Neodiprion lecontei: one gene and its partner. The protein of the gene in region 1 interacts with the protein of each later gene in a pairwise test. Links are inferred from orthologs where the notes say so. Each region holds a gene or a part of one and is shown on either strand. Other genes may lie near its edges.

Region 1 (17,726 bases):
ATTTCTTGTCTTATAAAGTTTCGTATATATTTTTAACCGTATAGCAAAAATAGTAAGGATGCAAACGAGCTAATTAAGATTTCCTTAATGACGTGTGTAATTCCATAGTTTTTGCAACTATTAGAAAAGCTCCATTAAATAATCATACCATCGATCTTCCAATTTGTTATCTCGATTCTATACAGTAGAAACTTCCACTCAACTTTGCCCATCTAATTCGAATAACGCAAATGAAAAAAACCGATGACAAAATTTCAGAAGAGTTAGGGATTTAGGAGAAAGACTGAACTTTGGAGAGTTTGTAAAAGGAGAAGGCATGAAAAAAAAAATGGGTATATTTAGGATTTAGGAAATTTACCGCTGTGAAGCCTGCAAGAATACTTTTCAAGTGAATCGCTGTTTCGCAAATGGAGATTTATGAAAAAATGCGTGCTAATTTTGCCAATACGCAACCATGTATCCACATATACGTTTTTCATACTTCTACGTTATCATTCTGGTTCTAAAACTCCTTTGTCTTCACCTAAACTTTAATCACAACTGAAATTTCAGTCGAAATATGCGTTTCAATCCTTGATGTGTCTATTACTAGATTTTTCAATCGATAGAAATATATGGAGTAAAATTCAGCATAGAAGCTACAGTCGAAATGCGATAGTTTGAGGAGATAGTAAAATAATAGTGAAACTTACCATAGATGTGTCAGTGAGTTCAATAAAAGTTGTAGTCGAGTTAAAGTTTATGTCGAATTCGCTTGATTTTTTAATGCAACTCATGCATTAGTGTATAGTATATGTATACACGAATATAAGTTAAGCTACCATTTTTGTACCGTACATTCTACAGTGGATTTTTCTCTGTGGATTAGTGAAATTGTGGAAGCTCTTTATAATAAAACGGTAACCATGAAGCCATTTCGATTCATAAAGTGAGACAAAGTGTTGAGAAAACATTAATTTCAACGTTATTCCCAGTTATACGTCACAATTGTCATACTCCTTGAAAATCGTGTAAATGAGATTTTAACGTTACTTTACACATACGTAAAACAATAATTTTCTCCCAATGCTTAATTTAGATAGTTTAACTCATTCGCTTTAATATGAAAATATTGACTCAAAATGCCTTTATTTCGGTAAAGGAACACTTCTTGAACAAGTTTGAGATGTTTTGGACATGTTTCAGAAAATGAATTTTTTTTCAAAATTTGCGTTTTTCCGCAATGTCAGAATAATTCTACAAAATAAACAGTGGCAACGAATTTGTAAAAACATTTTACCCCGATTTGATATACTTGAGAGTTATTTACAGAAATTCGTAGAAAACGAAAATTAGTGTACAAAAAAGCGAATGGGTTAAACCTCGCATCATGCAACAATAACCTCAACAGTTACCACATAATATTTGATTGATGCATAGGTTCAAGGTGCAGGATGGGGATACCTGAATGTTTGTACATCGCGTTCGGTGGTTCAGCCAAATTCAACTTCTCCGAACGACGTAAGCTGCACATCAGTGACAACAAATACGCACAGCATCAGCATATCCTGCAGTGGCGTGGATCTCATACACAGATGTCAGCCTCTCTACTTATCTGTGGCAGCTAATGCTTCGGATTCAGTATCATACCAATGCACAGGTATATTTACAGTACCTCTAGAAAATCCAAAGCCATGATGAATATTTTTCCATCGAGTATACCACGAAAATCAGACGCGTTTAAAGTACGAAAGAATTGGTCTGAGTAGGAGAAAAAAGCGTTTAAAAATTTCCAGAAATCTAATTTTTGCCGATAATGGTGAACAGAGATGCAATAAAATCCTTAGTATGTAACAGAAATAATTCAGAGTAAATTCGAATAACAGAAGTTTTACGGTATCAACAATTTCAGAGATGAGTTTTTTAATAATCAAAACGTTGAAAATGATCAAACTCTGGTGCTTTTGATGGAATTATAAATATTTCAGGCCTAATTCATTTACCATAAATATATCCAGATATCGCTTGAAAAAGTTTCACAAATAGTTAGCTTCGAAGTGGATAAAGAGAAATTTTTGAAAGCATGGTACAATAAATCTTCGTCAAAGATTACATTTGCTTTATAACTATAATATAAAGTAAGATTTCTAGAATATTTTTCGAGAATTTCGGAGAATCTGTTCGGTGAGTAAAATGAACTCAAAAACATTAGAATCGGATCGAATACATTCGAGTTTAAGCATTTCGTATCTTCCAGTTGAAGAACTTTTTCGCAAATTGGTGATATCTTAGCTGGTGTTATTTGAATTTGCTCATCATCATTTCTATAACATAATAAAAATGTTGTTTGATTAGTGTTCAACATTATTAGCGCAAATAACACTGCTGGAGTTTTTTCAAACAGTCTTTTCTCTTTTTATTTTGACCAACAAAATGCTCGTTATCCAGTGCCATTCAAAACGCTGGTATTTTCTGTATTCTACAATTTAACACACGAGCGTATATCTACATAAAAATCTTTCAGATGCCAACGTTTGCCGTTATCCGGACATGCGCAAGTTCACAATATCGTACGACAATCTTGTATGCCGAAGCAGTGCCAGCACTTTCTTCTTTGCTCCATTGGTTCTGGTAGTATCTTTCATTATCAACTTCATGTAATATAAGTGTATAGAGTTAAACGCAGTTACCGAAGTGATTCCGTGTTAAAACGGTCACGCTTTTTGTTAATACATACTACGGAATTTTTACGCTATTCGAAGATAACATTGTATCGAGTATTTGATGGAGAAACATTTGCGCCAGAGTTTTCAAACATTTGTTGTATTTACAGAGTTATCGCAAGTTTTAATCACGAGGGAACCTTTTCTCAGTGCATAAGCATGGCTTTTTTCGGTTCATACGATAACTTTTAGCTAAGAATTTCATTACAGTACTGAAGTTAAATTAAAAAAAAAAAAAAAATCGTCGTCATTCAGTTGTAAACGCGATATTGTTGGATGAAGATAAATTTCAGGGTAATATTTATTTTTCTATCTCCAAGCTGTAACGATTTGGCTACATTCTCTGAACAGAATAGGAGGACAAATATTTTGCATTTCAGTGCAATCAGCTTTCCAATATCAAAAACTTACTTACTCTTTAATACTTGACATAATAATTAAATGGCTACTACAGCGATAAACATTAAATTTTAGATTTTCGTAAGATAATTAATCTCATGATGAGATAGGATACATAAAACTTGAAACTATACTTGGGCTGCCGGATTCTGATCATTTCTCAAGTGGAAAACTAAATTCGGATTTTGAGAATCTAGCAAATCCATTACACAACTAATATAGCCTAGTGGGAATTTGAGCAAAGAAGTTCCTTTGAACAAAAAGTTGGAATAAATTCATAAATATTGTAAATATTCTTACAAAAGTAATCGTATTCCCCGGTGAGCAGCGACATGGCACATTTTCAGAGCCTTGTATAAAACCATGTGATCATTTCTCCAAGAATTATTCATTTAAAAATAGAATCATCAAAGTAAACGTCTGTAACTTGTGTATGGTCGATCAATTGATTTGAAGTTGAATTAATGTCACATTCAAGTTCAACTGTTCAAAACGAATTCAAAGTCCTCAAAATATTATAATTATGGTATCTTGCAGAAATGCGATCAACACTTTGGTTCTGAAAAATGAGAGCAAACATGAATTACAGATCCGTGAATTCTCCCTCAATTGCTTGCAATCTAATCTGATTACGCAAAGGAGTCAGTATTTGTGAAACCAGGTGAAAGATTTTTTTTTGATATTGAAAATGGCGCGTCATAGGAATCAATTACAAATATTACATCATCATCAATTTTACTGAATTTAAGTTTAGAAACTAACATTTCCAAACTGCATCACATTTTCAATTCACAATTATTGATCTGTGTCGTCCCGGTTTTATAGTTTTCAAACCCAGTTATTTGATGAAATTTGAGTTTTCGAAGAAAATGAAATAATAATATCAGTATGTAAACTTTGACATTTGCATTGGTTTGCTGAAGGAAAGTTTGATCAATTTATTTGAACTTGAAATTTTTATTTTTTTTTCATTTTACCTATATTTCACTAAGAAAGTAGATTCTTGATAAAAAAAAAGCAAATAATCGCGTAGTATTCGTACTAATAATACATTTCAGATTGCACCCAATTTTTATTTTTTTTTTCCATTGCATAGTACTTAATGAGATGTACTTAGTGAAATGAGAGTGTTAACGTACAAATTAGTTAATAAAAACAGGAAGAAGATTAAAAAAGGAACAGTTTCTTTGCCCTTATTTTGTCTTTTATTTATTTCTGTAACAAAATACTGACTAGAAAAAGTTCAGTTTAATGGGCTAATGAAGTATCCTTATTTACGAATCAGGGCTGCACAATAAAACAATTAATCATACATTTTTTTGAAATTAGTCGATTGATTGACTCTTTTCATTGATTGTTTTTCTGAATAATCGATTGTTTGGCATTCTCAATTAATCATTTTCCCTATTAATGGATTCATTAGAAACATCATTTAGAGTTTTCCCGATTAATCAAGTAATCAACCCTTTCAATTAATCGATTTTCGATTAATCGGCCATTTGTTTATTGAAATTGATCTTTTCTTTTTTTGGATTAATCGACGAATTAGATAAAAAATGAGTTCAAATCTGCGGTTAATCGATTAATCGCGAAGCTCTAGTACGAGTTAAGTCTGTATTAGCTCTCCGGAAATAATGAATTATTTCCTTCTTTTAAATAGACATTACTTTTTACAATCCTACAATTGGCAAATACCGGTATCATTATCGAGGTTCAACTCTTAATATTCATACACACCTTGTGACAATACGTAAAAATATATTTTGTTCGTTAGGAAAACACTGCTTTATATATAAGGTTTACATAATGTGACTGTATGATCGACGCCGCAAGAAACTTTTTTTACTTGAGCACCTACTGCTACCTAGAATATAATATATATAATTCATGTGACAGCAAATAATAAAGAATGTCATGAAATGTATGACACTGTTTGACATATACTTACTTTCAATGGAAAGAACTGATCCTCGATATTCCCAAGTCCTAAAGATCCAAATTTGTTGCATCCCCACATATAAAGGTCTCCATTATCAGTCACTGCCGCCAGTTGACTTATACCGCAGTATATTTGAGAAACCTGTGACAAGGTAGAAAATTTTTTTTCTATCATTGCTGACTATTATATTTCTTTAATCGAATAATTCAGTAGTAAATTTTGTATGAAACATCGAATTTCAATTTCGCACAGTCATCACTGGTTGAAAAAAATAATTTCAGATTTTGGTAAAGAAGCTAAACTATCCAAAAACACTGTCTTCAAACTTGAAGTAAATCGGTCGGACCGGTTTTGAAATATCGTGGGCCCCGCAAAACATGTCACTTAGCTAAATGGTTGACGTTATTGTCACTAACAATGCTTCCAATTATGTCTATAGTAAAAAAAAAAAATATGTAGCTGAAGTTCGATCTACACACGTTTCGATAAAACAAACTCCGATCGAAATGAGTGGTTGGTTTTCAAGATATCAATTCCCAAAATTCACCCATTTCTTTAGCCGTCTACTCATCTATAATCCATTGATTTCGATGAAGTCTAGATGACACTGAATTTCAATTGTGGTCAATCCAAAAGTGTATTAAAAACATAATAGCAAACTATCATTGCTTAAGAATAGAATTTCATGAATGAATTTTGTGAACTGGGGGAATTTTAGGCAAATTTCTACTGACCCGATTATTACGGCTATACGCGTTAAAACCAAACAGAGTAGCCGGAATCATTGTAGGTTCTTTTGCTCTTTGTACAGCAGGACCAACTCCAAGAATTCCATATCCCCATACAAAAACGTTGCCATCACCTAGGAATTCAGATCAACAAGAAAAATTTATGACAAAAGAGTAAGGAAACATAATCCGCTACTTATTACAGTAAATTGTTTACTCAAAGAGATTTGTCACTTAAAAATCAAGCCTTTGCTTCGAAGGTTCATATGGTCAACACGTTCGTAAGCTATGATGATTTTTCTAGGAATGCAAAATAAAAAACTAGGATAACCATTTTTCATCTCTAATCGCATTAAGATGCTGAAAAATCTGATATATAAATGCCACATCATTTTGCGAACGAGTCATTTTATGTAGAAGGTAATTTTTCAAGTAAAGTCCAACAATTTTTGTTTTACTTATCAAGTTGATATTGTTGAATATACAATTTTCCAAGATTCCAGTGGTATCGATTTTGATCAGGAAATAGCAATACTTAATCAATAATTGAGAATAAGACAAAATTTGTTTCACAGAACTGGCAAGAAACAGTTTTCCAAACAAACCAAGCCACCATGACTTCATGGAGTGAAATTGAACGAGCCTAGTAAATTTTTCCACCATTTTAAAGCTGTTTCCAGTGAGAAATTGATACTTAAACTGCTGTTCATAATTTTAGTCACACTTTTTCAGCAATTTTGGAAGCATCACCGTAGCATCCGAACGTGATAATTTGATAAAAACTGTACGTGAGCTGATCTCGTAGTAAAATTAGTAAAAAAAGCATTGATTTTTAACCGAAGGTATTTGATCGATTGATTATATATTCTTACTGTTTAAAACCATGCAAAAGCTTCCGCCTGCAGCAATGTCTACAACATGTCCCAGGGAGCGACACTCTTGGATTTCTGTTGCAATGTTTATTTGGTGATTATCAACCAAAGATGGCAACTGTCCATATTCCGAATTACCCCATCCGAATACTGTGCCTTTATCTACCAAAATTATATTAGAATGTTAAAGCTGCTGAAGTAGGGGAAAGTTAACTGAATTATATACAGAATTTCGCAAGCAGATTAGACGTCCAGGTCTTTCAAGATTTTCCCCAGTATTCTTTTAGTATGGGAAGTCTCTTCAAACAAATTTATGTAGAATATCACATCAATATATGACGTCTGCGATTTGTTTAATTGGTTAAGCAATGATAATAACAAGTAGTTTTTTTTTTATAGCATACCGCTAAGCGCCAAGACACAGTCTGCCATACAGGCAACTTTGACAATATTTTCACCAGCCAAGTCTCCTTTCACTAAGCTCGGTTTGTACTCATTTCTGTAATGTGCAAGACCAGTTTGGCCATCTGCACCCCATCCAAATGTATAAACTTGGCCTGACTCGCTTAAAAGAATACTGCAGAAAACAAAGAGTAGCTTGTAATTCATTGATTTATAGATTATCAAGTTTTTAACGCTAACACAATGAAAGATTTGGAAAAGGTGCCCCTATTTTGCAATGACTTTGAAGATGTTCAGTTCTTAAAATTTCGAGTATATTTTGCTTCATTACAGTTTACCGAATTTCTGACATTTTCAAGTTTGTGAAATGATTTATAAAAACACTCTCACTGCATCATCATCATGAACTTCAATCTCGTTCGATATTTATGTTAACATTTCTTTATGTCCTAAAAATGGAGCAGGATTCGTTTTTTTTTTTTTTGTTTTTTTTCTAAAGATTTACCAGTTTTATAAAGCTCGTACTGCAAACTCCACACATGGCTAAAAAAACTTCCACTTCTCACCGTTAGTGCAAAATATACCATAATCAAATGAACCACCTTTTTTCATTCAAGAAATGTTTTGCTTTACGAACTTTAAACGTCGAATGAATGATTTAAATTTGAAAAAAAAAAAAAAACATATTGTAAAGTAATAATTGGTTATTTCATGCAAAATATATGAACTAGAATGATACAACATGTCGTTTTGTACTATTTACATTGAAAATGTTATAAAAGATAGTGGTCAACTTTGGTTTATTATCTTTTACCGAATTGAATTTAACGTAAAGTTGCAAAATGAACATTTTCGTTTAGAAATGCATTGTTAGAATAATTCTGTGAACTTTAGCCTCATCTTTCTTGGAGATACAAGACAAACCGAAATTTTATAGAAAATGCTTATTGCAAGTCAAAAAATTTATGGAATGCCCATTGCCGTGTGCAGATCCAAAAAAATGTAGTGATTGCCAACAATGAGTAAATATCAGGTTCAAGTTCATAATGTTAATATAGCCATGTATTTTTAGGAAAAATCGTTAATTTGCAAGTTTAGGATTCTTTAAATTTCGTTAAGTCATACAATGAATATAAAAATACTCTCATACTTTGGAAACTTAATAACACCTTCAGTCACTTTTAATTGAAAAATAGTGATTTTTGTTTCTCAATGTTTCGTTACATTAACGTTACTAACTTCAATCTTATTTATCTTATCTTATCTTCACTGTTGTCTAAGGTAACGAGTATTATTTAAATGAAAATAAGATTATTCATGTACAAATTCATTTGATGAGATGAGAAATAATTTCTCTCGTAATTGTCTCTACAAGTAAGATTATCGTCATTTTAATGTGGTTAATTGAGTAGACAATAATAAAAACGGAAAATTCTTAGTGTGTTGAGAAAAAAGAATTGTTAATTGCAAAAAATATTTTTTTGACGGCAGCGCAATATCTTTTTGTTCAACGGTTATCTGAGATCATTCTGTTAAAACAAATGATCAAAATAACTTATGACAGTGCTGATTGGTAAATGCTATCACGTACCTGTGATCTTGGCCTGCTGTTACAGATTTTATGCGCTCCCCTTTGATGTCTGGTATATGATGAACTATTGTATTGTTTGTGTAATCTTCATCGACAATTATTGGTCGTCCACATTGACCATAACCATTATTTCCAAGTGTAAACAGGCCTTCGGTTGTTAGAACTAACAAATGTGCACGACCAGCAGCAAGTCCAGTTACTTGACTGGACGGATTTTTTAATGGCAGATGTATCGGCTTTGGGAGTGGAACAACATTTTGAGGATCCTTTGCTGCTGCATCATATCCTGAGGAAAGAATTGGATCAAATTTAATCAAAAGTGTGAATCAAATCGAATGAAGACTGCACTGAAGGCACCTTTAAAATCTGTCAATCCTAGCAATATTTGACTAAAATTTAGTCTGATCTTTCCGAAAATGAAATCCATTTTAAGGCTGTTGTCGGGAACTGTTCTTTACACTTTCAGTCCATGTTTGCGAACTCCTAAGAATAAATTTTCTGCATTTTTTTAATGTGAAATGGTAAACATTATAGAGTACATTCTGAGTTGTATAGTGGAATGGAAATGGCATCGTTTATAAAACATAATAAATATTCGAGGGATCATGGATTTCCTAAATATATTCTGTATCCCTGGAATATTTTTAATGATTTAATTATGATGTAATTCTAAAAACTTGAGGATATACTCCAAAATGTCTGAATTTGAATAAAGAAAATAAATAAAAATCCATTTTTGATCCGTCATGTATATACGACTGAAAAGTTGAAAAAACCTATGTTTTTTTGTCACAATTTCAGAAGACCTATCTCAAAAATGATTACATAATCATAAGAATCAAACTTTTTTATGCCAAAAGCACAGTAGGTCGTATTTTTTCTCGACAACAGGCAGTGCTGAAAATTCAAAGACGAAGGTTCAATTTGAAATTGTGGAATTCATTTGTTTTTACCATTTGACTTGAGTCCTACAGCTTTTTCAAATGAAAGGTAAAAGAGAGGTGTGGAATGTTTAAATAAATCCGATTTTCAACTCCTAACCATTGGCTACTACTTGTAGAATCAAGTTACTGTTTATGATAAATGCCATCGAAAATATAACGCAGAATGTAGATTGATAGTTACCCACGTATACAATCAGTTTAATATTTTTGTCCCAAATTTTTATTCATATTGCACAAATGCGTGCACGTGCCATGTTGCAGATATCCCTCTTTTACAGCATCTGGGTTAGAAGTTGTGTACAAAGATGCAACTTCCAATTATACAATATTACGTTATCTGGTCGATATTAAATTTTAACCAACTTATGGAATCTACTAAATGATATATCTAACATTTATTGAATTTATATTTTCATCTTCACGTTCATTTACCCAATTGAGAATCTGTGTTAATTCCATTTCCCCAAAGGATGTTTCCATCTTTCGAGTCAACGGCAAAGACCGTAAACCCATAACCAGATTCGATATCTATCACTCGATGCTGTTCTGCAAATCGAAGTCTGTTCGGTTTGTGATAAAATAAGAACTTCTTGCGCTTCGCGATCGGCGGTTGAAGTCCCAAGGCTCCATGACCAGCAAGGCCCCAAACGTACACCCTGCGGTCGCTACTCTGACTTACTGGATATTGAAATACTGCAATGCAAAATTACAGAAAAATTTTCAGCATTATTTATATTAAGACATTAGATGTCTAAGAAATATTTTTTTTGCTCCCACCTGAAAAACTAGAAACATCCTTTTGTGAAAATAATTTATTATAAGTTGTATGTATCAGATAGGGGCAAAAAAAACTTACTCTCGAAGAAACCACTACAATTTGTGTACTACAAATGGTCCGAATTTTAACATTACGCAGAGTTTATTAGAACAATTAAATGACTGCGATAAAGATATGCTAAAGCGACGTGAAAGAGATTGGAGTGAATTTAGCCTGCATTGTGTAATGGCAAGATTTTCGGGAATTCTCATGTCTTATTTCTGTTTACACAGTACAATACGAAACAACTTGTTAATAACGCAGTCAGTACCAATCACTCTTAGAGGATTGATATCATGTAACGTAAAATTCAGGGTACTTTTTAAGTGTCATCGGTGTTATTTTCGTGAAATCGAAGTAACTCCAGTGGAGTCACTGTATCAGGCAAATACACATCGCCAATGTTGTTATTCATTATGTCACATTTGTTTACGGTAAAAAATCCCTAGAGTGATCGTTACCTGGCAATTCGTTTGGTGGTGGGTTTGGAGATTTTGTATTCGTTGCTGTCAATTTTTGGCGGACTTTTGGAGAAGATAATTTTGAATAATTTCTGACTAGCTTAAACATTATTTAAACTTTTGTAGCAATATTTGAAACGTGCCGTACTAATTATGGCATAGTTGAGTAAGCGACTGTTTTGCACGGTTGTCTGTTGTTTGAGGTTAGAGTTTCATCTGCGGTAACACCGGTAACACTTAATCACGGAGCAGTCGGCAGGAGACGACACTGAAGCACCGTTCGGCTCAAACGTTGGACTAGTTTTGCGGCAACGTAACTTGTATGAGGAATAGTCACGTTGCGATTGAAGCGCCTCTTGCGGGGTAAGCCCGTATAGCGCTCTCCCCCCCCCCCCCCGCCCCGTCCGGTATCTTATAATTCGCCGTTTGCCACCTTTTCTTCAGATTCAAATGTCAGTTGGAAAAGTAATTACTCAGTTTTCATTCACTTCAAATGCGTATTTTACGAATTTACGGAGTATGTTTGTAGCACGGATGTTCACAGGTTACGATCGCCACCCTTCACTTTTTACATTTTCCTATATTTTAGGCATTTTGATTGGTTACCTCTGAACCATGATCCGTGCCGCGGTGCCTAACCTTAGAGCATATAGACATAGAGGATGCATCGACGCTAAAGAAAGGTCCCCGAGCCAGTGAGCGAGAGAGATGTCGTAATGCTACATGCGCTCTCTTTCTACAGCAAGAGCGTACCTATCGTAATTGAGTGCCTCGAGCATTGCGTTGAAATAATCCAGATTATATAAATACATATTATACATTGGTGCCTGGTAGGTCAGGTTATTGAAACAAACAGTCAATAATATCAATGTTTAGCATATTTTTAAATGCAACGATACAATTTATAAATGTGGAATGGGCATTTTCGCCGAAGTCTGATAGAAACGCGACGATTCAACGGCTTGATTTAGTAACAGGTACATTTGGGGACAATAAGACCGTGTAGACGGCTAATTTTTTAAACTTGACAGTTATGTTGGCAACACAGAGAACCCTTGCAGCGCCATTACTACTTCTCTCTCTATACCATTTTACGCTTGCACGAAAGGGTATACTAGACTTCCTCCATAAAATGTGAATTCACCCTAAGGAGATAGCCAATTCGGACGGTCTTGCGCTCAAGGGTGCGTTCCGAAATTAGCTCTCAGCGCTAAAAACTCGGTAGCGCAAAAGAGATAAAAGATTGTTGACGCACTGGGAGTAAATTATCGAAACGCATCCAAGCTGTATGCTGCACGTGAAAAACCAGCGTATATCTGGCAGTCGTTGTCGGACTACGTGATTCTTAGTTAATGAAAGAATGTTGTGGGTGTTTGGAATTTTTTTCGTTTACTCACTTCACATGATTCAGAAGTTGTAATATTGTGCGAGAGATGGTCAACAATAAGTATAGATGAACAATTCAACAATATCCGTTCTTCTGCGTGACTGAACGTCCGGATGAAAACATTGTCACCATCATAACACGCTTGAACATTATTCTTATATCATCCACCACTATCTCATAGTTGAAACTAACCGCATCAAAGCAATTGACAACTTTGCAAAGTCTTATGATTTATTGAATAACATCAATCGTTAGGAAAACTTTGAAAGAATAACATGTCTAAGCGTAAGCTCGAGGATGTACTGAGTGAAGACTGGAAGGATAGTAGGGCGAAAACAGAACCGACCGTCAAGAATTCTTTAGACTCTGATGAGGAGGACGAAGAAGCCAATGAGGATAATTACAATGTCATGAATGAGGATGACTTTGAAGGTGCGCAACATTGCCATTAGTTTACGAATCGCATCCAATAATTCTATTTAGTTTAATAGTTCAATAGACTTTAATGTTAAGGAATATCCTAGAATAGGATTCAAAAATATGATACAAATGATGATAAATTGTGTCTGAATTCCTCTCTATAATATGCGAGATTAAAGTTAGTAACTTTAATGCAATGAAAAGTTAGAAAAAAAAAACAAATATAGCAACTTTGAAACAACTTTGAATGAGTCAAGTTTACAAAACACGAGCTTCACACTGGCGTCGTTAAGGTTTATATAATTTGGAGCAATGCTAATGTTGTAATTCAACAAAGTTTCTTACAAAATGCATCGTCACAATAATGTGATGAACTTCAAATTTGTAATATTTGTTTAGAATCTTTTGATGAATGTTCTGATCAAAGTCTTTCAGCAGGGCCACTTTTCCAGTTTTTCTCTCATATTGTCTATTTCATTCAAATTAAGTAGTAATAATAATTATATACGATTCTTTTCTAAATCTTTGAAATTCGTGTTCACTTGAAATCTTTTATTATAAAGGAACGGAAGACGATCCCGTAGCAGCAGAGACAGATGTAGGCTTCACAGCATTCAATATGAAGGAGGAATTGGAAGAGGGACACTTTGATAAGGATGGTCATTACCTCTGGAACAAGGAAAAGCAGATCAGAGACAATTGGCTTGACAACATTGACTGGGTTCAGGTTGTTAACACTGCTCAAAAATCAAATTCCGCTACTAATGTATTTATTTTGTTAAAAATACTCTATTCTACTCGACTATTATACAATGAGATTTTTACGAAAATATCTTAAGTTGGAAAATTAATACAAGTTTCGAATTCATTAATTTTTTAGAAAATTCGTAATCTTACAACGGAACTTTTGAAACTGTGAACTGTAATAAAGCTAGTTGTACTCGTATTTTGCAATGATTCTAAATTTTTTAATGTTATTAACTTCAATCTTATGCAAAATTTAAGTTTTATGTTTGGCTTTGTTACGGTTCATCAAATTTCAGACAATGTTAATGGTGCGAAATACCGATATCGAAAATAGTGACAAACTATAGCATCATGGAAACTCTTCTTTTTATTTGTGACTGCAAAATCAAAAACTTTATAAGGGAAATAGAAAGCCAAAAATGAAACGGATCTTTCAATTATACTTTCATAGTTCTGTGTGAAACGCATAATCATGGCAATAATAACAACAACTAGTTTGTTAATAATGTAAGCTCTGATAATAATAAAAATAAAAACAATAATGCCTAAATTGGGTTACAGATTAAATCTGGGGGACGCGAAGGTACAAGCAATAAAACAAGTGACAAAATCAAAGGATTGGCGGACAGCGATAGCGAGGATGATGAACAAGAAGTAATGTTTGACAGCGTGCCATTGTACAAAAAAATTCTCGAGTATTTGCGTCCTGGGGAAACTGTATCAAAAGCACTTCGCAGACTAGGTAAAAACTAATTGATCAGCGTTTGATAATATAATTTTTTGCATTCAAGGGTTTATTGAATATTGTTTTGACAAATTTTTTTTAGTGTTTCTAGTAAAATCATTGTGGGATAAAACAAACCCCCCCCCCCCAAATCTCTCCACCCACCTAATAAAATGAATTAAAATGATAAACTAACTCGATGGACAAAAGAGCTTAGCTTTTTTGCAGTAGGTATGACCAGGTGATAGTACTTCCAGCCCTCTACAACTTAGTTTAGTTCGTTAGATGTTTAAAGAGAGAAGACAGTGTAGCGATGGCCACTAAGCTAAATATAATCGATGTATCGATTAATCGAGTCCAAAAAAATAATTGAATAAGGCTCGATGGAATCGGTAAAAATTAATCGATTAATCGATTATCTCGAAGTTTGCTGAAACGGTGTATGTGAAACCAAAATTCCGTAAATTTCAGTATATAGTCTTATAGCTATAATAGCGGAAAAGTTTTTTCAGAACTTATAGTTTCATTAAAAATATTTTTCAATTTAAGGTGAAAATATTCATTTATTTTTCACCTATTATATCAAATAGGTACCTACTAAGTAAGACAATGATAATAATTCATACTTTAATCAGATAAATTAATATCATATTGCATCATTCATGGAAGTAAAAAACAAAAACTGATTGTGAGGATAAATAACTGAGTTGGTCGCTAATCAAGTTTGCGATGATACTTGATAATCGGGATACAACAATCGATTTAATACACAATCAATTATTTTTGGTCATTTTTAAGACGGTGGCAAATTGTCATGCTAGACAAATGTCGGAAGTAGTGAACAATATTGAGGAGGAAAAGGAAACGCATGAAAAAAAATTATTTAAACAAACAAGTAAATTACTTCACAATGTATTATGTCTAAATAAGTAGCAGTAAATTATAATGAATTGAAAGTGAAAAGTCACGTATCAAATTCGAGAAAAATTTGTAGAGAATTCAAAGCTTATGGATTTCTTCGAAGTACGGCCCACCATCGTTTTCTAATCAAAAGTAGAGAAGTATTCAAACAAATTGTGTCGCATCCCCGTCGAATAGTTGGATTTTATTTCCAAATTATAATACAAATTGATTTCACCTATTTTTCGGATTCACAAGATATATACCTGGTTGTTGTCAAAGTTTTGATTCAACACATTTCATGATAACAAATACAGTAGGCATTTCTCGTTATGATTTTACCTAAAAGTTGCTGTTTTGATGCAACTGACAGTTCTTCGTGCAGTATATTCACCTATGATTTTCCATGATATTTAGGCAAAGGAAACAAAAGAATGACCACTGCAGAACGATGGAAAAAGAAAAAAGAAGCACAAGCCGGTATAGAAACTAATGAAAATGCTGAAAAAATAACACAGTTAACAGAGTTTGCAAACGAACTTTTGACACGGACCGGTAACATGGATATATACGAGGAAAGTTATGAACAAATTAAAAAAAAGGTATGCACTGTTTTTATAAGTATCCTCAGTAAGTTTGATTACTTAACATGTAACTGTATTTATTGCATTGAGAAAACACTGCATGTAAGCCATTCTATACCATCTTGACTTTTTAACGTATTACATTCTTTAGCACAAAATAATTATACCATTTGGATCTCTAACTAAAACATTTGCCGTCGCAAAAACCGATGTATTCATCATTTTGACGAATTGCAACAGGGAAACAATATAGAAACCCCTAAAAGTTGACAAAAATTAATTAAAAAGTTAGTATCCTAAATTTCCCAAAAACCATGTTTCTTTTCTACTGAAAATTCCAAAGAACACTCGATTTGGTCTAAGAAAATATGTGTAATTTTCGTCATGGGTTCAGATTTAGTTTGAAAGTTATGAATTTTTTTTTTTCCTTCATAATTATAAAAAGTATTGTATCACGTTATGTTGTCATCAAGTCATACGAAACAGCTCTGAAATATAGGTATTAAATTATTATATTGAACATTTTTATTATATACTATATACGTAATATTTATATTACAATAATCATAATTTATACAGATAATAGTAGTAATAAAAGTAAGTTCAAACTAATTTCAACTCCATGCTGAACTTTGCACTTGTTTATTTACACTACATAGGAGTATCCTTCGAAATTTAAATGGGTGTCAGGTTTCGAGAAATGCAAGAAACTTATGTTCATTTTACCAAGTTTTGTAAACTTGTAGGGTTTTTCATATTTTTTTTGCATGTTATAATTTTCAAATTCATTCAAAACAGCTTGTTATTTTCTTCAGAATTCTGTCGATCGCTGGTCGAATTGGTATGAAATGCTTGATTTGTACAAGACACATGTGTGAAGTTAGACTCGAAATTGTTCTTATCCCCATTGAGTTTTTGGAGTAAAATTCAATACTCATCCTCGCGACGTACGTTTTCGTAATTTATATAATTTTTTGGGACACTGCAGATTGAGACGAGTGGGAAACAGGCTCATCCATCGAAACAGGAAGCGGAATTGGATATGTACTCCGACGATTTTGATGTTAAAGAAAAAGCCAAGCTTGACGAAAATGCAGCTCCTGGTGGTAAGTTCTCATTGAGTTATGTGTAACAGTGCCAATTATTACATTTATTCAATATAAGTAAATATCGAAAATCGATCCTAAACGAGAATATCAAAATGCTAGACATAGATTCAATATTTATAAATTATTTAAAGTAATTCTCAGTTAATTTAATTCGATTGTTTTACAATTACCGTTGAATTAACTGCATTTGCAAGCTCATTTCAATTTGAAGATAGAATAGTGTAATATACACTAATTGTGAGCAAGTATTTGAGGTCATGCATCTTTCTGTGGCAAGATTTGTAAACCTTTGGGCGGTAATTAGGCGTAAATTATAAGTATAATATTCCAACAGGTATTTTTTACCTCACGATACGAAATTTTGTTTTCATTTCAAACAGATCTGATGAAAGTATAATTGTATTATGATATTCCACGTTTCTTTAAGGAAAAAAAATTACCCCTGAGAATTGTTCTATTCGAGACAACATCAGAATTAAGATTTCAAAAAGTATTCCTGAAAATTAGTATGTAAATTATAGACGAGGTTGAAGTTAATAACGTTAATGTAACGAATCATTTAAACAAAAATCAGTTTTTGATAATTATAGAATAGTTTTGGGGGATTTAGATTTTCAAAAAAAGACTATGTATTACTTTATCGTGGTTTGATGAAATTCGTATAATCCTTAAATTCGGAATACCTAGCATTTTTTTTCCAATTTGTATTGCTACATTAACTTTACGAACTTCCACCCCATAATTACAGATTCTAATGAATGATTATTTTTGAAGATTCGTCGGCGATGGAAGTTGAGAAATCAAAAGCGAGTTCGACAGAAGTTAAGCAGGATCTTGAAGAAGACATGGTAACATGGGAGCTGAAGTGGTCGCAGAATGAAACAGCTGAGGTTCACGGACCTCACTCAACGGAGCAAATGCAAGCTTGGTCCAAGGAGGGATATTTTAAATCTGGTGCTTGGGTACGACGAACTGGTCAACAAGGGCAATTTTACAGTGC
Region 2 (13,718 bases), on another chromosome or scaffold:
TGTAAATGAAAATGAAGCATACGTTATTACGACGCTTCGTTGATCTTCTGTAGCTATATACTGCGTAATCTTCGGTTACAGTTACAGACCCATTAAATTATTGACGATGAACATTAATTTTCGTTTTATCTTGTACCTGACAAGCTTCCCGAGGTATCCAATGAATAACGACGGGCTTGCCGATGATGCCCAAGGATTCCTTGCTGTATCCTTCGGCCAAAATGGTCGATCTTGAAATTTCCTGATCGGATACGTACTCATCAGATGCTTTGCTACCAGGCGGAGGAAAAGAATAAGGGGTCGAGAGTACTACATTAGGTGGTAACAGTCTGGAATTGCCAGGTGATACTGAATTCGTATACTCGATACTAGTATTCCGCTTTTGCTGAGAGGCGGTTGATTCGATTCTGTCACTGTGGTCGTCTAGGTTGTCAACCTCTGAGATCGTGATACCTTCTGTTAGCTCCAGCGTGTTTTTCAAGACATCGCTTATAACGTTTGACACGTTCTGAAAGAGTGTTACGTCATCAGAATAGGTCGACCCGACCGGGTTACACGGTTCGGATAAATTCAATCAATTCGTCACCCGCACCGAACAATCCAAGTGCTGAACTAACCTTTTCGGCGGCTTCCCATTGATCATTTCTCATGGCCATTTCTTCGGCAGCGAGGCGTTGCTGCTCTAATAATTCGGCAACGAACTCCTCGCCCTCTTTTTCGGATACACAAATTTTATCACCGAGAACTAGCGTCAGTGCCTTGCCGAAACCTTCTCTTGGGTCGTAATCTTTGCAGAACGCCAGAAGAAACGCGGTGTAATTCACGTTCGTGCATCCCGACACAAACATCTCGCATAATAATTCCTTCGCAAGCATTAGCCGCACGGTTTCCTGCGGAGTAATATTACGGGAGCTTGCCGGAAATGTACTATCAACAGTGGAGTCGTTGCTGTATAGTGACCTTTTCGACTCAGACGGTGTTTTTGGTAAGATTAATCCGCAGGTCTTTTCGATCTTAGCGTATTCTCGTTCCTCTTCGTACATTTCCTCTTCGTTACGTTGATAATCCTCATGGAGGAGATTTTTGCAGGCCGGATCTTTCAGGTCACAATTTGTGAACCAGTATTTGATGGAATGAAATTGATCCCTGGTTACCATCTCAGACAGGGTTGGGTCCATGGCTATAAACTGGAACCTCATATCTAGGATATCTTCATCGCTGGGCATCGATATGTCCATAGCATAGATAATGAATTCCCTCCAATCGACGTACTCCGTATCTCCAAATATCTCTGTAACCAAGTATGGGACATCGCAGGGACGCAGTTGTGACCACAATGAAGGTAGATGGGATATTACACCTTCGTCTTCGCCGCAGGCGATAATGTCCTCGAGGATATAAGTGAAAAAACGTTGCGGAAGACTGCCGTGGGGTGCCACATACCGGAATATATCCATCAGGCGACCAAGTTGTCCCATACGAAATTGTGAGGGTAATTTTGCTTCACGTATTGGCTCAGGAGGAGGAGTTGGTTCATCCGGATACATCAGAACGCTTGATCTGACAATGAAGCGGTCCTCGTCCAACAGTAACTCTTCTTGAATTGGTATTTCTTCTTCGATTGCCAAACTAAATACTGATGCCATTTCGTTTACGCTCTTGATCTCTCTGTTGTAGCGATCGTTGGTGGCAGTCATTACGTTGGAAAAACATCGCTGCATAGTTTCATAGAGAAAACTGATGTCTGATAGAGCAGCGTTCTCTAACAATTTTAGTCTGAGGAGTATTCTATTTATTTCAAATTGCAAGGCAGATCGCCATTCACAATACAAATCAGGTCCTCGCTTGAGAAGTTCAGCCATTAGTTCGGCATCAACTGTGGGTAGTAATTGATTTTTGGCCATCTGGATTCTACCTTTAGCGTCAGGGGTAAAGGACGTTTGTTCTTTCTTTAAACTTTCTAACAACGATAGCGCCTGAGAATCAACGACATTTCGTGCGTACATGATATTTGCATGCACCGCTTGGTAGCAGATAATTTCTCCGGTAAGGTGAGGTGTTTCCTCAGCAGAAATTAGCAATTCAGCAATCTGTTTTTTGATACGAGTACAGTCGATGATAGGTGCTTTGTGTGGAATTTGACTAGCAACATTTTTGCCAGTTTTCGATGACGCTGTTTCCTTTGCTGCAGGTTTTTTGGCTTTTACAAGCGATACAGTTGACGAAGAAATCATCAATTCGTTTGAAATTATTTCCAGTCTTTGAAGAGGAAGTTTCGCTAAACGATTCTCGGAGATGGGTCGTTGTAGCATAGAAGTGTAATAATCCTGAAGAAGTTGTACAGTATCGATGTATCTATCTACTTCAGCTTCAATCATGCATATGTAGAGATTAGCCAAGACGACCATTTCCTCAGCTGTCCAATCCAATCTGATTATTCGTTGCCTTTCTTCCTCAGCCTGTTTTCGTCGTTCGTCGCAAATTTCCCAAAGTGCTTTCTGAAAATCGGCTACTCTACAATGCAACTCACACTTGACATCCAAGTCATCGCGCATGTCCATCGCAATATCATTATAACTCGTATGAAACTTGTGTAACAAATCTTGCTTGGAATCAGGCCGTTGAATGAAGTCTGTCATGTGTTTAGTCACATAGTTTCGGTAGGGCACAATGTGTGAGTACTGCACTCTTTTTATAAAGAATATTTCTTTAAGGTCCTCAATATAAACAGTTTCCATATTTTCCCATAGGTTTGCTAAGGCCTCCAACAGCAACGGAGCTTGAGGAAACTTGATCCATTCCCAAACATCTTCCCCGGGTTTTGGTGGGGTCGGTTCGACAGTTACTGTACTAATAGTGTTGTTCAAATAGTTTGCACCTTCACCTTCATAATCACTTTCTCCTCCCCAGTCATCGTTCACCGGTTCAGGACAGGGTACGAACTGTTTGACTATCGGAGTTTTGCTCAAGGGTGGGTTTGCCTCTTCATCTTCTAACGAATCCAAAGCTTCGCCGAACAGTTCAATAGATGGAACTCGTGGAATTGACATGTCTCCAATAGCGAGTCTACATAATCTCTTCAGCGTGAATAGATCGAAGGATGTGTAATAAACTGCATAAGCAATGCCTTGAGTAGTATAAAAGGCATCCAATGGCGTTGTGTCTTCCGAAAGTATCTCAAAAATGTCTTCCTCGCGTATGTGCATATTTTTAGGTTTTGGTAATGCTCGAATATAAGCCGTCATGTAAGAACTCAATGATTCCCTGCGTACGTTCGGTATTGGATTGTAGACAAGTCTAGATTCTCTGCAAGAACGAGAGAACTCGCCCAAGTTCTCATCTTCGTACGTTATCCTTGGAGGTACCTGGTTCAGTTCATCAATATCACCGTCAAGATCATCGGATATTTTTTTATCCTGAGGTATTTTAATACCTGTGAGAGCCGACTCAAGTTGTGCCATCTGATCAAAAGTGTTGGGATAATCAATCAAAACCCATCCTTCTATGTCGTTCAGACTCTTCATGTATTCGATAAGGATTTTCGTGTTCAATTCATTGGACAATGGCTGGCCCAGAGTGAGAAATTGATAAACCCATTTGCCAATGTATGCAGAATTCGAAAGATCCGGAGACATATCTTCATTTGGAATAACGCGAGGTGTCTGCGTTTGCTTATCAACAATGCGTGTAGTCATTTCCGTTGTTTTTGAAGGTCCCATAGGTGTTGCCTTCTTCTTAAGAGTAGTGTTTTTGTTCCCGCGTGAAGTTGGGTTATTTAGTGCAGTTTTCGACGATACTTCGTTCTTAGACGTTATGGCACTCAGATCAATGCAAGAGAAATCCTTCATTTCGTCTTTGAAGCATCGTAGGCAGTAATTTATTGCATCCTCCATGAAAATGAGTTTAATACCTCGGTGATTCAGCAATGACTGTATTGTTGGATAGACAGATGTGTCCAATACGCCGAGAAGGATGCAAGCTGAGGATACCTTGGGCACTGAAGCAGGCTCTGGCTTTGACTCTGGGGGATACACGTAATCTAAGAGACGATGGACGATGTAGCCAAGTACAATAATCCCAAGCCTGAGTATTTCCTCGGTTTCCAAATCAATATCTGGCATAAATTCGTCCCAAGGTGCGCTTACGTTCAAATAATTGTCGAAATCAGCGTCATTGAGAACCTCTTGACGCTCAATTTCTGCTCTGAAAATATCTTCTACTTCATCTTCAGGGTTTTCCTCACAGAGATATTCGATATTGTCAATTGATGAAAAAATTGGTTGACTCTTGATAAACAAGGCTTTCCATTCTCCCCAAATCTTGGCCGGAATAAAGTTATCGTTGCTTTCCCGATAAATGGCTGCCTGCACAGCGATGTCAATGAGATCGTTCAAGACATCATTACAAATAAGGTAATTCCTTTCGTAACAATTTTGTATTTTTCGTTCGTGAATTCTTCTATGTAATTCACACAGTCTCGAACACTCAGCCTCAATATCCTGACCTTCTCTGACGGCAACTTCATGTTCCCTAGCAAGTTCTATATTGTGTTCGGTCCTCATTCTTTCCTCCATCAATTTATTAACAATTCCTCTGTTCTTTGCGATCCTTTGCTTTTGATCTCGAATTTCGCAGAGTTTGGTCATCATTTGTTTTTCGTACTGTGACTGGGAGAACAATTTCTTGGCGACGGCTAGATCAAATTCAGTCTCTTGGTTGGCCACTTGTTTTTCCCACAATTTCGCCGTCAAAGATTTTTCCATTTGACTTTTACATCTATAGCTCTGCGATGCTCGCCGCGTTCGATCTTTCATACATTTTACATACGTCTTAGCAGCCTCCGGATCAGCCGGTGCTGGCTCCATTGCTTCACCAAGTTTTTTCTCGTTGCAAAGCTCATGATAGGTATATTTTTCTGGACTGCGTACCTTGTGCTGGCAACTAAAGTTGTGCAACTCCTGTATTTCCTGCTCCGGAAATGGTCGTATATAATCCATATGAACCTCACTTTCTTTTTCCATGATGTTCTCTGTTAGTATTTTTTCGGTGGAGTGTACTTGTTGTTGCTTTGATACGCATAATTTTCGGGCAAGTATGCACCTATTTAAGATTGCCTGGAATTTGTCGCGGTGCCAAGCGATTACGCTTGCATTACTTACAAGCTGGCCAGCAAGTGGATTTTCCGAGCATACTGGAGGCGGTGACTTATCTGGGACTGTGCTAACATCAAACTTTGACGACTGTGGAATGAACTTTTCTCTTTCTTTTTGTTGGGTAATAAAGTGAAGCTTGTCTTTACCCTCCAAACTGACGAAAATCTTGTAGAAAAGTCGTGTCGCTGTAGTACCCTGTCCGTTGGATATCTCCTCGATGGTATCATCGTCGCAATCTACCCCGATAAACTTGAGCCACACGCGAAGAAGTTTCAGATTAACCCTTGCTAAGGCTGGGTCCTCCGTGCTATGTATCGTGCTGATCTGGGCGTTGTCAATTATGTCGTAACTGTGAAGAAGCTGAGCTAGAAGAGTACCGTCTCTGGTAATTAAACCAAAAACGTCTGGATGTAGATCGATCATTATTCCTAGCCTATTTTGAAACCATGTTTTTAAAACTTCACTCATTTTCAACACTGCGCGGTAAGTTACGAATTCAGTATTTACATTCGCGGTCGCAGAAAATTTTGTTACTGTTGTGAGACGACCAATAAATAACTTTTTGAATAACTATAAGTGCTGTGGTGATATTAATTCATTGAAGTGAAACTGTATTTGATTACATCGATTTTGTAGACAATTTCAAGCCGTACTGGGTGTATTTTCCTTCTATATAGTTGACATCTTCAGTACATGAGAGATGCTATGTTTCATGAGGATTCAAATGGCTAATGCTAAAAGTATAAACATCAATGCTCTGCGACTAGTCTTATGATATTTTTTACTATTTTGATTGAATGAAATATCGGACTTGAAAATTTTAGCAACAAACTGACTCAAAAAAGGTTGGTATAAAAATGATATAAGTATTTGAGATGTCTCTTCTGAACAATTGGTTGGTGAGTTGATCCTACCATTTCTATCCATCCGAATATGCCAATAGTAGGTATGCATGCTCTGGACCCGTGCGCGTTTGGTTGCCAGAGTTTACTGCGTCAGGCGCAAGAAATTTACAATATTCTCTGGTATCATACATAAAACTTTTATCGTTCATTTTTAATAAGTGTTTTGAAATTTTCAATGCATATGGAACATTGATATTCAACTCAACAGTAGAGTAAATACTAGTACAATGGGCAATTCCTTCGTTGGCTGTTCCTTTGCCAGTACCACGCCAATACAATATATCCTAGTCCGGTTTCACTATCGTTGCGCCAACCGCGGTCAAAATCGAAGTTTTGATCGGAGCCCGCGCTTTGCGGCATGGCGCGGATCTTGAGCGGCTTGTCAGCTGTTGGCTGTGGCAATTGTGTACCATTGTGTATGGTAGACGTCAAGGTGCTTACCTTTGCCAAAAATGATTGGGCAATGAAAAATTCGAATATCTTGACAGTAGTGCAGTAAGACTTAACGTCATCTAAACTTTCGGGTGAATAAAAAATGCTGAGATGAAATCAAAACAACCTCTCCAACTTACACTAGCAATACTAAAGCCGCATGTAGTTAAATCTCCGTTTGTTCTTCAGGTAAATTACTATCTAATTTCAAATGCAAAAACGTCTGGTGTGAGAGATCAATTATTTATATCAATATTGCGATCATATTGAGTAAGCCTCACCTCAGAATGCATTGAATGTCATCATCCGTCGTGCACCTCCGCAAAGAACCTAACGTAACCTCAGTGAAAGTAAATAAAAAAAGTCGTCAGATACCTTGGTGACAAAATTAAACCGAGTGTGCCTCAAATGTCAAAAGCATGGCTGTAAAAAAATGCGAACTACTAGTGTTGAGATCGGCACGTGTGTTGTATGAAAAATTCTTTCAACTTCCAGAAAATTCGTGACTTGATAATTGATGAGGGTTTCAAAGTTGTCAGATCTCGTAGAACGATAATAACACCAATGGAGGCAGAATCGTTTTATGCAGATCACAAGGAGAAATTTTTCTATAATAGATTGATGACCTTTATGTGCAGCGGTCCTTCAGACATCCATATTCTGACAGCTCATGATGCGATAGCTAAATGGAGAACATTGATGGGTCCAACAAAAGTATATCAAGCCCAATTTCATGCACCTCATACTATCAGAGGGATGTATGGACTGTCAGATACAAGAAATGCAACTCATGGATCAGGTAATAGCATGAGAGAACTTTTATGCTTTGTACATAAGCAAAATAAATTCAAGAATTTCTGAATCCTTATACTTTCCAAGATTGAGCGTCTTATGAATTAACTTCAAAGTACATTTCTAAGATTATTAGTGTACTAGTCCGCAAGTAATTCAAATAGCCCTGTGTAAAATTCATTGATAGTGGCCTCATGTTTCAGACTCCCCAGAATCATCAAAACGAGAAATAGCCATATTTTTCAAAGAATTCAACATAGAACACTGGTTCAAAAATGAAGAGATTTTTTACAATTCAGGAAATTTAAAATTTGATCCATCTTTATTCATTCATACCATTGACAGAACTAGGAAAATAAACGAGAGTGACCAAGATACAACAATGATTTGAAGTTTAAAATTAGCAGACAAACGCCTTAAACTTTTGTCAAAAGAGATAATAGAGGCCCGTTTCATGATCCATAGTTCTATAGAAGTATCAGGGGTTCGATGTATTTGAAAAAAATTTCATTGTTGGGCTTCATTATCTTATTTCTGTAGAAAGTATCATGTTTGTCTGGTTGTTTCAGCTTTCTGTTCAACCATGAATGCACAATTCACCAATGATATATTTACCATGATGTATTGTATATAAGAATCATACCTTCTGATAGTTGATTATGTAGATTATAAATAAAGGTAAAGCAGCAATGAAGTAGGTTGTGAATTTGGTAGTCATATTATTTATCCTTTCGAAGCTACTTGTTATCGTTGCACTTACCTCCCATGTACCTGAATCTATACTTCATGAATCAAGAATGGCACTAAAAATTAAAGATTTTACTATATTCAATGTAGGAATACACGTTGATGTTAATATTGAATGGGTATCGATTCCTGTTCTATGTTACACTGATCAGATCACTGGAAATTTACAAAACACAGTCATGCAGTAGAAATAAAAACATATGTTTTTTAAAAGAATAATTTATTGTATTTTTCTTTTGTACTTGAAATCTTGATGTTTAGTATTAGATCACCCTAATTTAAAACAGACTAGTTAATTTACATGCGTCAAACAAATATTTACAAATTATTTCCTGGATTAAATATTTTTGTTCAAAACAATTCAATCTGCTAGATGCCTACAATATTTCTTGAATTATTTAAACGAAATACAAATCCTTCCATACTATAAGTCAGACATATTATACAATATACACAAGTTCTGCAACGCATGATAATGTGTACCAAATTGATAAATGCACCACAAATCACATGTGATAAAAACTTCAAGCGTTAATTTTGACATAGACTTTTGGTCTCGAAAATACTTTTATACCCTCTTCTATTTTATTGAGCTGTTTCTCAATTTCCATTTTTCGTTTCTGGGATCTCAGAGTGTCAGTTTTTATTGGCATCATATTTAATTCCTTAACAAATTCTTGATAGTCTGCAAATAATATGTTAGTATGTTGTAAATAACATGTTAGTATTTCATCGTTCGAAATGATGTAATCTTTTTATAATTATTCTAACCACAGTTAATAAACAGCAAGTAGCAGCAGGTACTCACTTTTTTTCAACATACGGAGGGTCTCCTGGCGTTCACTGTCAGGCAGCGGGACGTGGCCATCTGGACAGTCAGGATCTGGTGCCTCTTCTTTCGCCTTTTGTTCTTTTTGCAGCTGTGCCTCTTTCCGTTCTCGAAGATATCTGTAAGTAGAAAATGTCCATTCAAGACAAGATTATGAACTATCACGATGAAAAATCAAAACCGAAACAAAAAAAATAAACTTAAAATTAATTCTAGAGTATGGAAGATTAGTTAAAATTTTCAACCTATCCAAAACTGAAGCAAGACAAAAAAAAAAGTAACGAGTCTACTTGCAGATAACGAGTAAAAGTAATGAAGAGAGAAGTTACTTTTAACATCATACTTGGGAACAACACCCTTTCGATAATGAGTGGGAGGTACGCCATTGTTAAGCTGTGTAGCCATTTTGGTAGCAATTGATGTTTGCTGTTTGTTCAATTTAACAAAATCCGTTCCTTCCTCACGGGACGAATCTAAGTGCAGATCAGGTGATTTGGGTGAAGGAGATGATGGTGTTGAACTAACATCCCCACGATCCGAGGGAGAGTTAGCACCTTCACGTGGTGTTTTATTATTTTGTAGTGCTACCTCCATTGTTTTGCACATAGCCAAATCCAGTCTAGGACTCCGTCGGGTAGAATACCTAAATAAAAATTATTGTTCAGAAACAAAGTTGCAAAAAGTAATTGCAATATCTTTCAAGCAGGCCATGAACACTAGTACCTAATTGTACCCTCGGCATACAAATTGCTCATGTGTTTAGCATCCAAAGTTTGAATTCCCTGGCTTCTATATTTTACTTCAGTGTTACTATTGCAACAATGCCCACAGTTTAGGTTTGGGTCTGAAGGAGCCTTAGTCATGTTGCTTTGCAGCTTTTTATTCAAAACTGCTTCACGAGTTTTTCTCTTGAGTATAGGACTCTTTGCATTACTATGCAGTACCATGAATCCCTTCTGAACTCCTGCTGTGGTTTTACTTTGCAAAGTTGGGGCACTATTTTTGGAATGAGGTTGAGCCTGCGACTTGGATTTTTCAGGACCATCCAATTTCTGTTTAGCAGTTGATGTGCATGTTTTATCAGAAAAGTCCTCATCTTTAGCTTCACGAAGACTGGAGTTCACCCGCGATGCTATGTTCTGATATCGATTAGACGCTTTTTGTTGCCTTCGAATTTGTAATTTTTGTAATTCCTCAACTTCCTTGTGATTGTGAAAATAATGCTCCATTCGCCGGAGATTTTTCACATTTTCATGTATGAAGTTTTTTCGCCTGTTTACTTCTGCATTTACAAAATTACACAAGTGCTATTAATTTCAAAGAATAATAAATGTAACAATACTTTTCAACATGTATATTGTGCTGAATATTGCCATTGATCAACTAGGTCATCGTAAAGTGTGATTTTAATAGTATGTAACCTGACTTAGGTATGGGTGATAACTGCATAACTGACGATAAACTTCAACGTATTCGAAATTGTTCAGGAAACAATATTAAGTAGGTAGAATCTTAAAATAACAGAAGATAATTTGTAAACAGCTTTCCTTAACAATATCAACTAGAAAAGCTGTCTGGACTTACTGGGTTCGGGAAACACACCTTTCAATGTCGCCATTTTCAACGTAAAATCTATAACAATTGTTTTGTATGCGGAAATATCGTTGATAAATCCCGGTGGAATCTATAGGTAAACAATTAGACACCGAATCGACTCGAAATTATTATATGAAACCTGAAGTGACTAATTTTATTCTAATGTTCGCACCAGGTATAATAACATACTTAATCGATATAAATTTAATTTATCTGCCGAAAGCAATGAAATCAAACTTATCACTTCAATTTTGCGCACATTCCCGTTTTCAAACAAACAATTTTGTTTACAAAGCAAATCATGGCCACTCTGACATTTCTGCTGACATTTTCAGTTGCTACGAATGTTCATAGTGCTGAAATCTAGAAGCTGCCAAACATTACCGACATCGTAGTCGATAAGTCAGCTCGTGTTATAGATGGCGTGGAAATGATAACTGCCACGCAAAGAACCAGCAACCTCCATAACGTTGACCGAGGATATAGGTATAAAGACTGATAATCTTGTGTTATTTTGCGTAAGAGTTTGCCGGGTTTGAGGGAATTAGCAGTTTCATATATCATCAATCAAGCAACTGACCACACCGGTAAAAGAAGTTCTTCATAACTAAGAACTATCGCGTACAAAACGTTGGTAACATACAGTCGTCATAGTGAAATTGAAAAGCTGAGAAAATCCCGTTCAAAAAACATCCGCAATTGGTTGGAGAATTCATACTTCGCCTCATGTCGCATGTTACGGCAATGCTCTAAACATTTGATCGCGTTATGCGTAGCTTACGCGGTGTTTTCACCCAGCCGCTAAGACCATAGAGATATATAAAACAAAGCGTAAGCAACGGTGTAAGCGTCCCGTGAACGGATTTGAATCGGTTCTCTAAACGACAGCAGATAATAATTCTAAACAGCAAGGCAGGCGCGTGCAGCTACCCCCACTCCATGTGAAGCGCGACAGCGCGAGGGGGGGGGGGGGGCGAATTATTATGTTCCGTTCTTCAGAAAACTGAGTTAGATTTCTTCCGAGCGCCGTGCAGCATCAGTCGTTTCCGAGCAATCGGAGCGAAATCACGTGCTCTCAGTATTGGTTCAAGATTCAGACCGCGTTGTTCAGGTGATGTCACGTTGTTCGATCAGTGTATTTCCACCATACTCATCTGTGAATAATATACGAGGAGCAGCGTGTAACCTGAAGGAAAACCGAGTTACTGAAATAAAAACATCCTGCGAACGTTGAAGGTGAATTTCGTGTCCGAGTTTTCATTGTTTAGTGTAACTTCAGATTACAGTGATGTCTACTTTTGTCTTTATGCGTGGAGTATCAATTTTTTTTTTTGGCTGATTTTCGGTAAATGCGCAATCGCATTGTTAGTAAGTTTGTTCGGTCAGTTCAAATAGACAGCTACGACAAAAAAAGTGAGTGTAGTATCGAGTGTTAGTGTTATTGCGGTGCGGATTTTGTGGATTATAAGAGATTAGTGAAGATCTAAATTGTGTAAAACGTGCGTCGCTTCACTAATAACCATGAGATGCTACAAGAACTACTACATCTAAAAGCGTGGAGCAGCCCAGAGTCGAGGTAACAATACTTATTTTAGTTTTGGTCTTGCATAAAATGCAATGCAAAAATATGAAACTAGATAACACTAATAATTAATTTGAAAACTGAAAAGCCAATTTGATAAATTAATTCAAGTGTTCTATTTTGTTTTTCAGAGATTTAAGCAGAGACTTCCGAGTAACTTTTTCATTTCTCGGCAACGTTGGTGAGGTTGCATGTGTTAGGTTACGGGTATTTCCCTGGGATTCCTCTGTCACGTGGCGTGGCGGTAGCAATTGTTACACAAATCTTCGATTTCTTAGCTTCATGGATAGGCTCATTCGCGATGGCAACGTGCTTGACTTTGTCGAATAATTTTTTTTTGGCATTTAATTTACCATAGCCTGCTTGAAGTTAGAAATTTTGCACGTTGCTAAAAGTGGAATGAGCATCGCGACAGGTAACCATCGCTTATTCGACACTCGCGAGGTCGGATTGCGTTTCGTAACTGATGTAAAAATCTACACTTGAATTTACCGATGTCGTTTAAGTGGTGGGTTCACCTGAGGTTTGAACGAATTCAATTATTTACATTATTGTTAAATCGATAATATTCCAAATTCTGGCATAACGTAACGTAATCAAATTGCATCTTATATTATATATCATTTTCAATCTTTTAACAGCCAACAAGTATTGATCAAGTGCTGGCTTAGTTCGCTTAGAAAAATGCTAATTGGTATACAGGATGTTTTAATCAATTTTACAAAAGGTTAATGTACCGATAGTCTGCTAGTATTTAATAAAATAATACATACAATACGAGGGTTGGCGGCATACAACCGCGATACTGTATTCTCAGTAGGCAGACTACGATACAAAAACATTTTGCTCCCAACAGGTAAACAACGAAAGTGTAAGTCAGTGACCACGGCGCAAATGATGAAGAATGATGTGTGTTGGAAAAAATGGAGAATCGTTTAGATCGAATATAGGTAACCGGGTAGGTAGGTGGACGTTTTGGGACCCGTCGCGGGGTTTATGCATGTGTGTGTGAGTTTCTCTTTTCCGTTGGGTGGTTCCGTTGGGAAGCAGGCGAGGGTAGGAAGGTCGCGATGAGCCGTGATGTTACTAACTTTTGTAATCCACAGCGTCAAACGATCACAGAAACTTTTTTCCAAAAAGACTCCGTATTCGAGTCTCTCGACCATTTGCAAGCATTTGATATTAACGAAATCGAATTTCCCATTTCTTATCACTCTACAACCATTTTTCAATCGTTATTCAATTCAATTATTTAGGCATTACCGATCAGTATTCCATTCAATTGATCTCTGTGATCGTCTGAATGGGCAAAACGCATTTCTGGACCATCTATCGCGTTCCGTGGTACGCTAGATGGGGAGAGATGCTGAGCTCGAAGACGTCGCGTCGAAGAGGACCGCCGACCGTCACGCCACACAATAATGCATGCCCTCCAACCTCCCTCCCGATATCGCTTTGTATTCTGAGAACAACAATCCGCATAGCAATGTATCTAATTTAAAAAGATGCAGATGTGGATTGGGTTTCTAGAGAATTTTCAGGACAAGTTCCCGATAATACAAATTTTTTAATAGTTTAATCTGTCGCGGCCTTATTGCGCGCAGATTAATCACGAGAATTGTACGCAGCTTTTTGCGTGTAAATTAATAACCGGTATCGGACACGTTTTTTGCGCGTCCATT

The links.
Region 2: the proteins of RCC1-like G exchanging factor-like protein (region 1) and nucleoside diphosphate kinase 6 interact in binary tests that used the Homo sapiens proteins (3 or more experiments, as listed by UniProt). The link is inferred for Neodiprion lecontei from reciprocal best matches to the Homo sapiens genes RCC1L and NME6.

The regions. Positions count from the first base shown.
Region 1 is NC_060264.1:18,406,218-18,423,943, reverse strand, and holds RCC1-like G exchanging factor-like protein, read right to left. Parts: upstream 11,156-17,726; 5' UTR 10,965-11,155; coding exon 10,856-10,964; intron 10,271-10,855; coding exon 10,010-10,270; intron 8,920-10,009; coding exon 8,634-8,919; intron 7,218-8,633; coding exon 7,045-7,217; intron 6,803-7,044; coding exon 6,641-6,802; intron 5,903-6,640; coding exon 5,775-5,902; intron 5,182-5,774; coding exon 5,050-5,181; intron 5,041-5,049; exon of another isoform or gene 4,966-5,040; coding exon 4,888-4,965; 3' UTR 4,433-4,887; downstream 1-4,432. Other genes in the region: uncharacterized protein LOC107225508, read left to right, coding at 1,420-1,639, 2,504-2,640; CD2 antigen cytoplasmic tail-binding protein 2 homolog, read left to right, coding at 12,518-12,674, 13,226-13,389, 13,971-14,151, 15,451-15,635, 16,606-16,723, 17,501-17,726. UniProt on the Homo sapiens protein: Guanine nucleotide exchange factor (GEF) for mitochondrial dynamin-related GTPase OPA1. Activates OPA1, by exchanging bound GDP for free GTP, and drives OPA1 and MFN1-dependent mitochondrial fusion. Plays an essential role in mitochondrial ribosome biogenesis.
Region 2 is NC_060260.1:28,969,691-28,983,408, forward strand, and holds nucleoside diphosphate kinase 6, read left to right. Parts: upstream 1-6,408; 5' UTR 6,409-6,601; coding exon 6,602-6,679; intron 6,680-6,985; coding exon 6,986-7,289; intron 7,290-7,469; coding exon of another isoform or gene 7,470-7,485; coding exon 7,486-7,673; 3' UTR 7,674-7,988; downstream 7,989-13,718. Other genes in the region: sperm flagellar protein 2-like, read right to left, coding at 137-508, 618-5,621; uncharacterized protein LOC107220398, read right to left, coding at 8,554-8,714, 8,838-8,977, 9,202-9,501, 9,582-10,140, 10,443-10,476. UniProt on the Homo sapiens protein: Major role in the synthesis of nucleoside triphosphates other than ATP. The ATP gamma phosphate is transferred to the NDP beta phosphate via a ping-pong mechanism, using a phosphorylated active-site intermediate. Inhibitor of p53-induced apoptosis.